Cricetulus griseus: one gene and its partners. The protein of the gene in region 2 interacts with the protein of the main gene of each other region in a pairwise test. Links are inferred from orthologs where the notes say so. Each region holds a gene or a part of one and is shown on either strand. Other genes may lie near its edges.

Evidence for each region. The genes of interacting proteins can lie anywhere in the genome.
Region 1: the proteins of bystin (region 2) and Necab2 interact in binary tests that used the Homo sapiens proteins (3 or more experiments, as listed by UniProt). The two-hybrid records come from large-scale screens. The link is inferred for Cricetulus griseus from reciprocal best matches to the Homo sapiens genes BYSL and NECAB2.
Region 3: the proteins of bystin (region 2) and Hmbox1 interact in binary tests that used the Homo sapiens proteins (3 or more experiments, as listed by UniProt). The two-hybrid records come from large-scale screens. The link is inferred for Cricetulus griseus from reciprocal best matches to the Homo sapiens genes BYSL and HMBOX1.

What each region holds. Positions count from the first base shown.
Region 1 is NC_048596.1:196,094,901-196,098,781, forward strand, and holds part of Necab2 (N-terminal EF-hand calcium-binding protein 2), read left to right. Parts: intron 1-2,573; coding exon 2,574-2,710; intron 2,711-3,881. UniProt on the Homo sapiens protein: May act as a signaling scaffold protein that senses intracellular calcium.
Region 2 is NW_023276806.1:255,579,816-255,584,303, reverse strand, and holds the start of bystin, read right to left. Parts: upstream 3,140-4,488; 5' UTR 3,044-3,139; coding exon 2,779-3,043; intron 1-2,778. Other genes in the region: mediator of RNA polymerase II transcription subunit 20, read left to right, coding at 3,549-3,562. UniProt on the Homo sapiens protein: Required for processing of 20S pre-rRNA precursor and biogenesis of 40S ribosomal subunits. May be required for trophinin-dependent regulation of cell adhesion during implantation of human embryos.
Region 3 is NW_023276807.1:219,856,071-219,859,951, reverse strand, and holds part of Hmbox1 (homeobox-containing protein 1), read left to right. Parts: intron 1-2,090; coding exon 2,091-2,173; intron 2,174-3,514; coding exon 3,515-3,610; intron 3,611-3,881. UniProt on the Homo sapiens protein: Binds directly to 5'-TTAGGG-3' repeats in telomeric DNA. Associates with the telomerase complex at sites of active telomere processing and positively regulates telomere elongation.

The DNA of each region.
Region 1 (3,881 bases), on a different chromosome or scaffold from region 2:
GGTGCGGCCCAGCTGCACCATGTTTAATCAGCTCCGGAATGGTGTCTGCACCCAGGAGACTGTGGCTGCCTTTCTTCATTATGAGTGTTCCATCCAGGCTGGAGGCTCTTGCAATCCTTTGTTCTTCCTCCATTTCATTCTTTCTTCATCTCTTTTACACTCTTCCTTTTGATGCTCTGCTCTGCTTCATTGACTATGACTCAGAAGATAAAAATCTTCATTTTCATCTTATTAGTGGCTTCTGAAGCCGGGCATGGTGGCGAAGTAATTTAATCCCAGTACTCAGGAGGCAGGTGGATCTCTGTGAGTTCAAGGCCAGCCTGGTCTACAGCGCTAGTTCCAGGACAGTCAGGACTACACAGTGAGACCCTGACTCAACACACACACACACACACACACACACACACAGAGAGAGAGAGAGAGAGAGAGAGAGAGAGAGAGAGAAAGAAAAATCTCTGTAAACATCCTTAATCCTATTTTTTATTCTTAAATCATTAAAAACATTTCCTGTTCACTTTGAAGATGAGGGGATACTGAGATGGGGGATGAAGTGTCAGTAGTTTGACTTAATCTAATCATTGAGACGGCACAGCTTGTCAAGGAGCTTACTACCAAACCTAATGACCTGAGTCCAATCCCAAGGACTCACATGGTGGAGGGTGAGAACAGACTTCCACAGGTTGTCCTCTGACCTCTATGCATGCATCATGGCACAAGCACACACATGCATACATAAAAATACACACACAAATAAATAGTGAACAATTAGTGGCTAACGTATTTTCTTTCTTTACCTCGGAAGCCACTGCTCACACAGCATCTGTCTTAGGGGATCTTTCTCTGTGGCTCGAGCCTGGATGTTAGAGGAGATTCTCCACTGATCACTCTCTACACAGTCACCTGGCAAATCAAATGCTCTTCAGGGTTCTGGGTGGCTCTCAATGACTACAAATGGCTTGTCACAGGGTGCACCCACAATAGCCCCCCGGCCCTCCACTGCAGAGCTGCTCTCGGCTCTTGGCAGAGGAAAAAAGGGTAGTGTCTCCATCGCTGCTCTACCCCGCAGAAGGTGACCTGTCTTTGGAATTCACATTTTCTGCATTTACTGACTGCCTTGTCAGGCCCTGGTCTGATTGATGTGAACCCACGTCCCACTCCTGTCCGGTAGCCTTTTCGGGGGGAGGGGTGCTTATTTACGTATTTGTTTGTTTTGATCATATTATGTCATCTTGGTCATTTGGAGGCATTCCGTAGTCGGAGTCCATGGGTGGCATCAGGTTGTTAGAAAGACAGCCAGGGGCTGCCTGCACCTCAGACTAGGGTGTCTTCTCCACCAGCGTCTGCCGGCAATGGCTCCAAGCCAGGCCTTGGGACAGAATGTCCACTTTCATGTACCCTCCCCCTGTGCCACCCCCACGCCTTCTTCCTCAGGCTCTCTGTCTTCCAGCCATGTTTCCCAATGTGTAATTATTGCTAATTAATTCCCAGTCAGAGTGATGGATAGTTTAATTTGCTTTCCTTGAGAGGCTTGTTTTCCCCTGCTTTGCCAGGGACTGGGCAGAGTTCCAGTGTACAGAGGGAGGGGTCACTCCAGAGGGTGAAGTCTCAGCGCTGGAGGTCCAGCACTCTCCCCACCCACCCTCCCTGGCGGTGGTTACCTCCGCACCCCTGTTGGCTCTAAGAATCCAAACTTCTCCCGTCTCTGCAGCCTTGTGCAGAGGCAGGGATCTCCACGAGGGATATCAGTACTGAAGTCTTACCAGAGGGAGAGGTTCTGCTGCACACCGTACAGCACCCCCCCTCTCTCCAGAGCTTGCTCCCCACCTCTCCACTCCCCCTACTTTTGTGCCCCCACTTCTGAGCACAGGTCTCAGAGGATTTCTTTGGGAGCCATTTAACTTTCTTGCCTGCTCCAATTTTCTTCAGTTAGTTGTCTGAATAGTGACATGAAGACTTAGGGCCACAAAGAATTCTTGTGGAAGCAAGAAGGGAGCGGAGTCCATGAGGCCATATTCCCTGTTGCTTTCTCTCTACTACAGAAACAAAAATGCCACTCAGCGATTGCTGGCATTGTTACCAGCATTGCAGCCATTATCATCACCATCACCACCACCACCACCACCATCACCATCACCAGCATCACTGTTATCAACACTGCCACCATCGCCATGGTAATTGTCACTGCCAACATCTCCATTGCTGTCTTGACCATCAACATTGCCATTGCCATCATTCACCAACACCATTGCCAACATTATTATCACTGCCACTTTTATCACAGCAGCTACAGTTTACTATCTGTCATGTGATGGACACTGTGCCAAGCATCTTATACTCATCTGGTCCCTGATAGGTAAGATGGCAGAATGTACTACCACTGGCTGGGTTTGGAGAAGTGATCCAAATGAAGCCAGAGGTCCTGCTTTGGCCTCTGAATCTGGGGCCCTGCTGTGTATGCTCTGCACCTCTAAGATGCAGGAGGCAGTGCAAGGCCCCACAAAGCAGAGACATGAGCCCAAGGTGTCCCCAGCCACTGTGCCAGCCCACATCCAGGTTCTCCCCACTGATCCCAGGTGTATGAAGGTGGGAGCAATGTGGACCAGTTTGTGACCCGATTCCTTCTGAAGGAGACAGCCAATCAGATCCAGTCGCTGCTCAGCTCCGTGGAAAGTGCTGTGGAAGCCATTGAGGAACAGACCAGCCAGATCCGGTAGGTCAGTGGGACATATAGGGGGTACTTACAGCAGCCTGACCCTTTGTGTACCTCAAATCTTGGTGACCTTGGCCAAATTGCTGCACCTCTCTTTCACTCCCCAACTGCAATATGAAGATACACTTAGGACCTACTACCTGAGTTGTGAGACTTACATGGGACAGAACGTACTTAGGAGAATGGTTGATATGGGACATGCAACCATAGATCTTGTCACAGTTCTCCTTGTTCTTAGCTGGAAAGACTGAAGTCCCAGTCCAGGCCTGCTGCCTGGCTCACTTCTGAACACCAGAAACCAGCTTGGGAAGTGGTATCTGGCTACAGGATGGGGGATGTCACATGGTAGAAGTGAAATATCCAGAGGGAAATGTGTTCCTGCCGGGAGCCCTCCAGATCCCCAAGGGCGGCTTCTTTTTGACCTGGAGAGCTGCAGAGATGGAAGGAGCTACTGAAGGCAGCATAGGACCAAACTAATGCTGAAGGAGATGCTGGCGAGGGATGGAGTTCAAAGGGCTGCTCCTTTGTCTCTGGGTACATGGGCAAGCATGGGGGTTTCTCATGGGCACTGAGGATGCTGTGTGCTTGGTGCCTGGACTGGGACTTCAGTCTTTCCAGCTAAGAAGGGCCTGCTCAAAAGGATATGTGATAGGTAGAGTTTTAGTTGGGTGCGGTGGTAGGGGTGGGAGAGAGAAGTGGGATTGTCATGTAAAACAATCTTGTATCCAATTCAAATAAAAATATGCAAAAAGAAGAAGAAAAGAAGAAGAAGAGAAGAAAAGAAGAAGGAAAAGAAGGAGAAGGAGAAGGAGAAGGAGAAGGAGAAGGAGAAGAAGAAGAAGAAGAAGAAGAAGAAAAAGAAGGGCCTGCTCAGCTTAGAGCACAGCCACATGCTGCCTACAGCTGACTCAGGAAACTCCTATCTGTTCAGATCAGAAAAGGGGAAATGGGACCCACACACAGGCGGGCAGCTGCCAGGGAGCCCATATCCCTGGGCTATCCAGCCTTGGCTTTATCAGTGTACAACTTCAGGGTGCCTGGCAGAGGGGCATAGTGGGAGCAGGATGTTCTTTTGCTGTGGGGTGGGGTTTGAGTGGGAGTCACTTGGTCAGTGAGGACCTCAGATAGGGTTGTGAGGGGTTCTTAATGACATTGTTGCAAAAATGTGTTT
Region 2 (4,488 bases):
TCTTGCACAACAGAGCTACATCATGTACTAAAACTAAAACCATGGTGGAGGCAGGGTGCAACACAAGCACTTAGATTACTGCAGAGGGTGATGAGGCTTTGAATGGGCAATTTGGGAAGAAGTGTGTGTCTCATATCCTAGAAAAGGACTTTAATATTACTGTTGGGCATTAAGAAGCCAGAGCCAGAAATAGGACCATAGGACCACAAAGGAAAAGTACATCCAACCGGGAAGGCCCCAAGGCTAGGCAGCGGTATTTGGTTTCTAATCAACCAATATATACATGTGAAGTTACAGACTCGGAGCAGCAGGCTTTCTTGGGACTGCCAGAGCCCAAATCATGACATAGTCTTACTACTAATTATGAATGTTTGGCCTTAGCTTTAGGCTTGTTTCTGCTTAGCTTTTTAATTGAAATTAACCCATTTCTATTAGTCTATGTGTTGCCCTGAGGCTGTTCTTCTGTCTCTACCTCCCAAGTGTTAGACAGTGTGGTCCATGTTTGTAATTCTAACACTGAACTCTTGGTTTGTTTGTTTTTGTTGTTGTTTTTGAGAGACAAGGGTCTGACCATGTAACCTTGGCTGGTATGGAACTTGCTCAAGCTCACAGAAATCTGTCTGCCTCTGCTTCCTTAGTGCTCAGATTTAAAGTCACGTGCCAATACACCTGGCTGACTTTTGAAACACCACACATAGCTGGCAAAGACCCTGGAAGAGTCTAACAAACCAAAGGAGTTGAAATATTATATAACAACAGGTCATTTGCAACAGAATTGGACTAAGGGTACACATAGCTCAGGAGAGTACGCAGAGCATGTCCAGCGAGACCCATGTTTTGTTGGTTTTTTTTTTTAATTTTGTTTTAGACTTATATACACTATTTTATGTGTATGCCTGTGAGTCATAAATGTCCCTGGTGCCCAAAGAGGTCAGAAGAGGGCATATGAGCCCTTGGAATTGGAGTTATAGATAGCAGTGGTCTGGCATGTGAATACTTGGAACCAAACTCTCGTCTTTCTGAAAAAATAAGTGCCTTTTTTTGGTTTGTTTTTCGAGACAGGGTTTCTCTGTGTAGCTCTGGCTGATTGGAGCTCACTATGTAGACCAGGAAATCTGTCTTCAACCCCCTAGTTCTGGGATTACGAGCTGCTGTGTATTGAGGTCAGGGGCTCTTGCTTCCAAAGCATGTATTTCACCAACTGAATTTTCTCATCACCTCCCTAGCATCTGGTCAGCAGAGGTGGACCCAACAGGTTGTCACTGATCACTAGCTGACGAATGGATTACAGACGTTAGAGAACAGTAAATGATGATGCTCCCACAGTGATTCAAGGGAACTCAAACAGGAGGATGTTCCAAGCTAAGGAAGTGGATATATCCTGAAGACACAAATCATCAGGGTTTACTGACAAACCTGATGTAGAATGAGAAAGAGGAGCCTTGAGCAAGGGGAGGCTAATGTGCTAAGAGACTCCATGGAGCAAGCAGTGAGATGTCAGGTAGACAGGTGGATATAGGGATGTTAGTTTACTGAAAGAACTATGTCTGAGAGAAAAAGCTGGGAGTAGTCATCAAATGCATGGTTTCAAACCGGAATCTGCAGACAGCAACACAGGAAAACCTAAAACTCAGGCCTGCTCTGGTCACAGAGCAAGTTCAAGTCCCGCATGAGTAACTTAAGGAGACACAGTATCGTAATTTAAAAACAAAAATTTAAGGGCAGGTGTGGTGTCAAATATCTATATTGCCATCAGTTGGAAAAACAGAGGCAAAAATCAGTAGTTCAAGGTCATCCTCACCTACATACAGAGTTTGAGGCCATCCTGGGAATGAGACCCTACCTCAAAACAAGGAAGTAAAGCTACTATGGCCCTAAAGCCATATTCAATCATCTCAATACTGCTTTTAGAATAAGAAGGCAAGACTAAGAAACTGGAGGTCAACCTTCCCAATGAGACAAGTATCAGGTACTTTCCCACTCATCTCTGCCGCCCACCCCCACTCGATTCTAAACTGTTTTCCTGCCTCGGTTAATGGAACATTTCCCATGTTTTTTATATCTTAGTCGGCAGGGCACAAAACTGGGGTGCCTGGCCTGTTGAATTAATGGCGGGTTTGTTGTTGTTGTTTTGAATAGGAATATATTCATTTTCTTTTACTGTCTCGATCGATAGAGGTATACCATGTATATCAGGCTGATCTGGACCTTACTATGTAGTCCACGAGGGCCTTCTTCTGCCTCAGCTTCTCACCTGCTGGGATTACAGGCGAGCACCGCTGCTCATTGCTGGAATATGTTACTCTATTTAATATTCTCTGCCTTGGGGTAGACTTCCGGTGCTAAAAGCAAGGACGAGTACATTGTTTATTTCGGTATCAGAACTGCCTAAACTCTTTTTTATTGGGGGGGGGGGTTTCAAGACAGTGTTTCTCTGTGGATCGAACTCACAGAGATCAGCCTGCCTCTGCCTCCCGAGTGCTGGGACTAAATGTGTGTGCCACCACCGCCCGGCTTAGAACTGCCTGAACTCTTAACACAGTTCAAAGCATTGCACAGGAAACACAGTCATACTTCACAAGCCCAGAGAATAAATACTGGAACTTGGTGTGAGTGATTACTTCCTGTTGGAACTCTGAGGTAGGTTCCAGAAGGTACGCGTTGAAGTGAAGGACCACGCGGGAAGGAAAAACTGCCTCCTCTTTGTAATTCCAAACCCGTATCCGGATGGACTGAGCTAGTCCGGCCCATGCCACCACTCCAGCCCGTGTCACTCACCCAGCCGCGTGGCGCGTTCCCGTGGCTTTGCAGGCTGGTCTGCAGTCCCGTGTTCAGTCTCGAGCTCCTCCTGCTGTTGCCTGGCTTGCTGCAAAATGCGTCTGCTCAGCCGGGGTCCAACATACTCTTCCTCCTCTTCAACCCCGCGTCCCCGCCGCTTGTCTCGGGTCCCCGCGCGCACTGCATTCCCAGCCAGAATCTGCTCGGCCAGAGGTGCATGCTTCTCCTGATTCCGGGCCCCGCGGGCCACCTTCAATTTGGGCATTTTTCTCGAAAAACTTGCCGATGCTACTCACACGTGGGAAGCCGGTTTAAAACTAGGACTGTGTCTGCGCCCTGTGTTCCGGTGCTCGGGAGGTCACCGAGAGTTCACAGCGCCCCCCAGCGTTCGGAGGCCGGAAGTGCCTCATATACCGCCATCTCTCCAGGAGCTCCGGGGCGGGAGCTGGACTCCCCAGATTCTCAGGTAATCTCATTGTACGGAAGTGGGTGGATGTCCCAAGTCACCTTTTCCAGACAGAATTCATGAATGTAGCCTGAGAGGTCCTGTCAAAGCAAAGCGCGCCCTGGGGGCGGAGCCGGGCTGATGACGGAATTCGTTCATCGCTGGAGCGCCCGGGCACGCCTCCCTTCTGTGGGTGTACCGCTCTGGCGCTCAGATTTTGCGTATTTCCGGAGCCTGCATCCTGCTTTAGGCGGCTCTACCTCCAGGGGCCTCTGGATCCCTTGACTTCGAGTGTTTGGCAGTGCCACCCCTTTGACCCTGCGCCATGGGAGTGACTTGGTAGGACTGCAGGGGCTCTTGTGGGACGGAGCTTGGGGTCGTGAAGGCCCCAGGAGGGGGATCGGGACGGAAGCTCTCGGTTCCTCGCGGGCTGACAAAGATGTCCTCGGGTCGTGTTGCAGCAAGGGACGCCGTGTGGTGCTTCTTCCTTCCCAGGCGCATCCTTTTGGCAAAGCCAACTCTTCATTCCAGGAACCTGTCAGGAGTCGTACCTTCTTTTTCTTGGTACTTCTTCATGTCCGTCAGGCCATAGTATTGTCGCCAATAGGACCTAAAAGTTGGGAATAGGCTTTCGCACTAAGAATTATTTGCAGGCAGCGATAAAAAAGAGGGGGGCGCTCTAGGAGAAAGTGACTTTTACATTTTGCTTGCAGTAATAATAGCCTGGCTTTAATTTGGTCTAATGTCAGAGGGAGAGGAAAAGGAGCTGTTGGAGGTTTGGAGGTCGGGGTTCCAGGCACATTAACTATCCAAGAATCACTTCCTACATGTTTGAGTCAGGTTTGGGTTTTTTTTTGTTTTTTATCTGAAACGTGTTTTAAATCTCACTTGGAAAAAGAGAGGTGATTGGTAATGTCTGGACACCGTGCTTTTCTTCAGGGCATTAATTCCAAAGTACTAGGCTTCAGCACGTTAAAAAAAATCTTGGTAGTGGTGTGTGTCTTCCCAGCTGTTCTGTATAATGTGTGTGTGGGATGTTCTTCAGGAAACCCAGGCTCTTGCAGGGTTTTTAGTGACTACTATACGTGCAAATTAGTTGACACCAGGAGCCTTATCTCAACCTCATCACACCGTAAAAAGTACCTGTCAGCAGTGAAAATAGAAATCACAGCAGAGTCACTGGGCCCTATAAAACATTTCTGTATATGTTTTTATGGGCTGTCGATCACCTGCCTCTGACTCCTGCATCCTGGGATCACAGGAGT
Region 3 (3,881 bases), on a different chromosome or scaffold from region 2:
TTCCTGTAAAGCACATGTAGAATTATATTTCTGTTGTATGGAAACCTCTCAGGCTCTCCAATGATTTCAATGGCTGGTCCTTCATCCTTAGAGGACAGACAAGTACATTGCAAGCTTGCTCCCTCCCCCTCTGAAGAAGTGATAGGCACTAGCACTGATCTCATCGCATCATCCTACGAAGCCCATGCTCTTAACACACTGTACTCCTCTCAGTGCCCAGGGTTCTCATGGCCTCATCTGCCATCCCTGCCTGACAGTACCAGTCCTCAAGACCTAGCTCAGACTTGCCTATGACATCTTTGCAGACTCCTCCCACAACTGGGCATACCAAACTGTCCACAAATCCTATGGCCTTTCACTATAAGTACATTTATGAATATCTCTCTCAAGTAGATTGTGAGCTCCTTGATACCAGAAACCAATTCTTTACCCACATTGCCAAGCACATATTAGGTAATTCATATCTACTTGGTGAATTGGGGGGTAAATGAGTAAGTTGGGTGAGATTTCAGATGTTAGTGTGCATTCTGGTTACTGAGTTTGCTCCAGGTGAAGCTGTATGCTGCTGCCATGACCTAACCAGAAGTTAGTTCAAGTAAACACAGAAGCCAAGACCAAATGGACCTGGAGCCCCTGTGAGCATGGTGACTTAGACTGAACACTGGCACTCCTCGGACCATGCAGGAGGAGATCCTTACACTGAGAGAAACAGCAAGGAACCACGTAGAACATGGTCAAAGACAAGAGTGGGAGCGTATGGTTGGGAGGCTTATAGAAGATCGAGAAGCGAGGCAGCAGCTCTACCCAGACTGAAGTGAAGGTGTGCCTTCCATATAGAGACCTCAAGGGAGGAGAAGGCAGCAGGGGTCAGGTTGGAGCTCTTAGGAGGAAAGGAGCCTCTGAGGCATTTGTGCAATGAGTGGTCTTTCTGCCATCGCAGAGTGGCGGATTTTCAGGAAAGGGGTGGTCCTGAAGAAATGGTAGGTACTAAAATCCAACGGTCATTGCCTCATTGTCACTTTCCAGGCTCAAGGTGTGAAAGTTCTCTTTTTCTTTAAGTTCATAGGTGTCAGAAAAAGTAGCACTAATAATAGCATTCTGTTCCCATCTACCTTTTATGAGTCTGCTTGATCTAACAACAGATTTTATAAGCCTCATGTATTAAATACCGTTGAACCAAAGTAATAATCTACTTCGTAACATACAAAAACAAAATGTGTCAGTATCCCACTACGCCCCTTCTTCAACAGTGAGCGGTGGGTGTTCTCAGCCTGATGTGTATTCTTCACTTTTACCCATGTGAAACAACACACATGCAGACAGGGATCTTCTAATTCTTGGCGTTTTTTTTGCTTGTACATTATTTTGCAGATTGTTTTTCTCACTTAGGAATATGCTATAAACATCCATTCAGGTCAGTAGACAGAGTGCTAACTTATTTCCTTCCTAGTTGTTTTAAAAAAGCTGTGTATAAATATAGATACCACATAATTTGTTCTGTCATCCCTTGTTTGTGGATAATTGGGTAATTTCCAGTTTTTGCTACTATTAAAAAAAAAAAAAAAATGACCAAAAGAGAAAAAGCCGTGTTGATACCAGTGCTTTAGTGGCATGGCTCTTGTTGCTCTGTGACTTTGGTCAGTCATGTACACCATTGTCCATACCCCTTACCTCTCCCCCTCACTCCCTCCCTCCTCTTAGCTCTCCCCTCCCATTATTCCTCTTGCTTCCTGATTAGTTTTACTTCTGAAATCATGTCTTACACACATCCACAATTTTATGTCGATATAAAATCTAGGAACCACTCATGAGAATAAGCATAATATGTTTCTAAGACTAGCTTAATTGAGTTAAGATGGTTATCACCAGGTGGATTCATTAAAAAAATAACTTATCTTAGAGGCACAATAGCACGTAGCCACCAGTCACATACAGTAAGTTCAGTTAAGTAAAAGGTAAATAGGTCTTACATTGGCTTTCTCCAGGAAGTTTTTGTGGCCATCCTGAACTATACCAAGTCACATCTTAAAGAAGACCTTTTAATGGGTACATTTTAAAGTAAAATGTGTCTTTGTTGGTTGCCCCTGCAGTTACTTCAATGAGAATCAATACCCAGATGAAGCAAAGAGAGAAGAGATTGCCAACGCTTGCAATGCAGTCATACAGAAGCCAGGTAAGGAGGTGAGCTCAGAGGGCAATGTTCACTTACACTCAGTGGTCTGGACACTCGCCCTCCTAATGCAGGTCCCAGCCAGTGTTCTCCAGATAGTACTCCTGATGTTAATGTGGCGTGACTGAAGTGCTCACACACAATGACTCTCCATGACACTTGAGGCCTTGAAAGGTTTTTTAAATTATGGATTTGTTTTTCCAAAATTTAGCATAAACTTATCAATTCTGAAATAATGATAAAGTGTGAAAATTCAAGCGAATTTTGTTAGTTAAAGAATGTAAAACCATTTTCTTCACAGTTGCTATAAAACTGCACGGTCTTTATTTCTTTGTGGGGCAGCTTTTGGGGGTTGGGGCTTTTCACATTGGGATGACTTCTGCCTGGCTAAGAGAACATGGTGGTTCCCTTTTGAAGTCTCCGTGGGGGTTTGCAGCCACTCTGGTACTTCCTATGTGTCTTATCCCCTGTGTACTTCAGAGACTAGACACAAGCAGCTAGTTTCTGCATGGCCACTTGTTTTGATGGCTTAAAGACTATGTGAATATCAGAGTTTCATACAGTGAAGGGGGATTAGTCTCCTTTAGAAAGCCAGCCTCCGGTGATATCTACCTACATGCTCGGCTCTACCCTCAGGCGAGAGGAGTCTGTACCTTGGGTGAATAGGCCTACAGTCTCAGTGCAGGGATTGGCTCCCTCTGGAAAACAAATACAGATTAAAAGTTGAAAACAAGAGGACAGGAGAGCAGGGGGCAGTGCAGATGGCTGCTTACATGTTAGTATGGTATCTCCATAATAATTAACTGTGATGGCTGAGAAGACAGTAAATCTAAACTCTACCCTGAGTGGTACTGTGTATTACAGAACAATCACATGGCCATTCGCCTTCAACACAGCATGTATCTCTTATCTTACATAAGGTATAACATGTATGTTAAGAGACTAGGAAACTAAGAAGTCATTTTATGTTATCTGTACACTTCCATAAAGGATAACATCCCTCTCAATGATGCTAATTAAATGACACCTCCGTGGTACTAATCTGGGAACTACGATTTGATCTGGAACCCTAGTAAACGGACTTTGTGGGATTTTTTAAGATTGAGTGTGTCTCCCTGAGTTGTGGCTAGCTATATATTCATTTGTGTGTTTGTTGATGCAGTAATAATTTTAGTGGGTTCTTAGTACTAAGCAATGTAAAAAAAAAAAAGATTCCATCCCATCTGTTATTTTGGCAATAAATAGAATAAAAAGCAACTTTTAGCAGAGATATATTTCTTGAGAACAGTTCAGTCTTGGATCTAAGATACAGATTATCTGAATTTTTTTTGCATGTATTCACAGGCAAAAAGCTGTCCGACCTGGAACGAGTTACCTCTCTGAAAGTCTATAATTGGTTCGCTAATAGACGGAAGGAGATCAAGAGGAGAGCCAATATCGGTAATGTATCAGAGAGACTACTTTCTCTCATGAGAAGGTTAGAAATGGGATAAGAGTGTCCAGTTTATGAGCTGCGGGTCTAAGTGATTGCACAATTAGTTTCGACTAGAAGCACCATTGCTTTTCTTTGTTGCCTTTTTAATAGCAAGATCAGTGTTACCTGAACTTTTTTATTTATACTTTAATAACAACTCTGTTATTAAATGATTGTTCTTAATGTTCTAGATTGTAGAATTAACCCCTGAGCAACGGGTTACTCGTGTGGCTAATA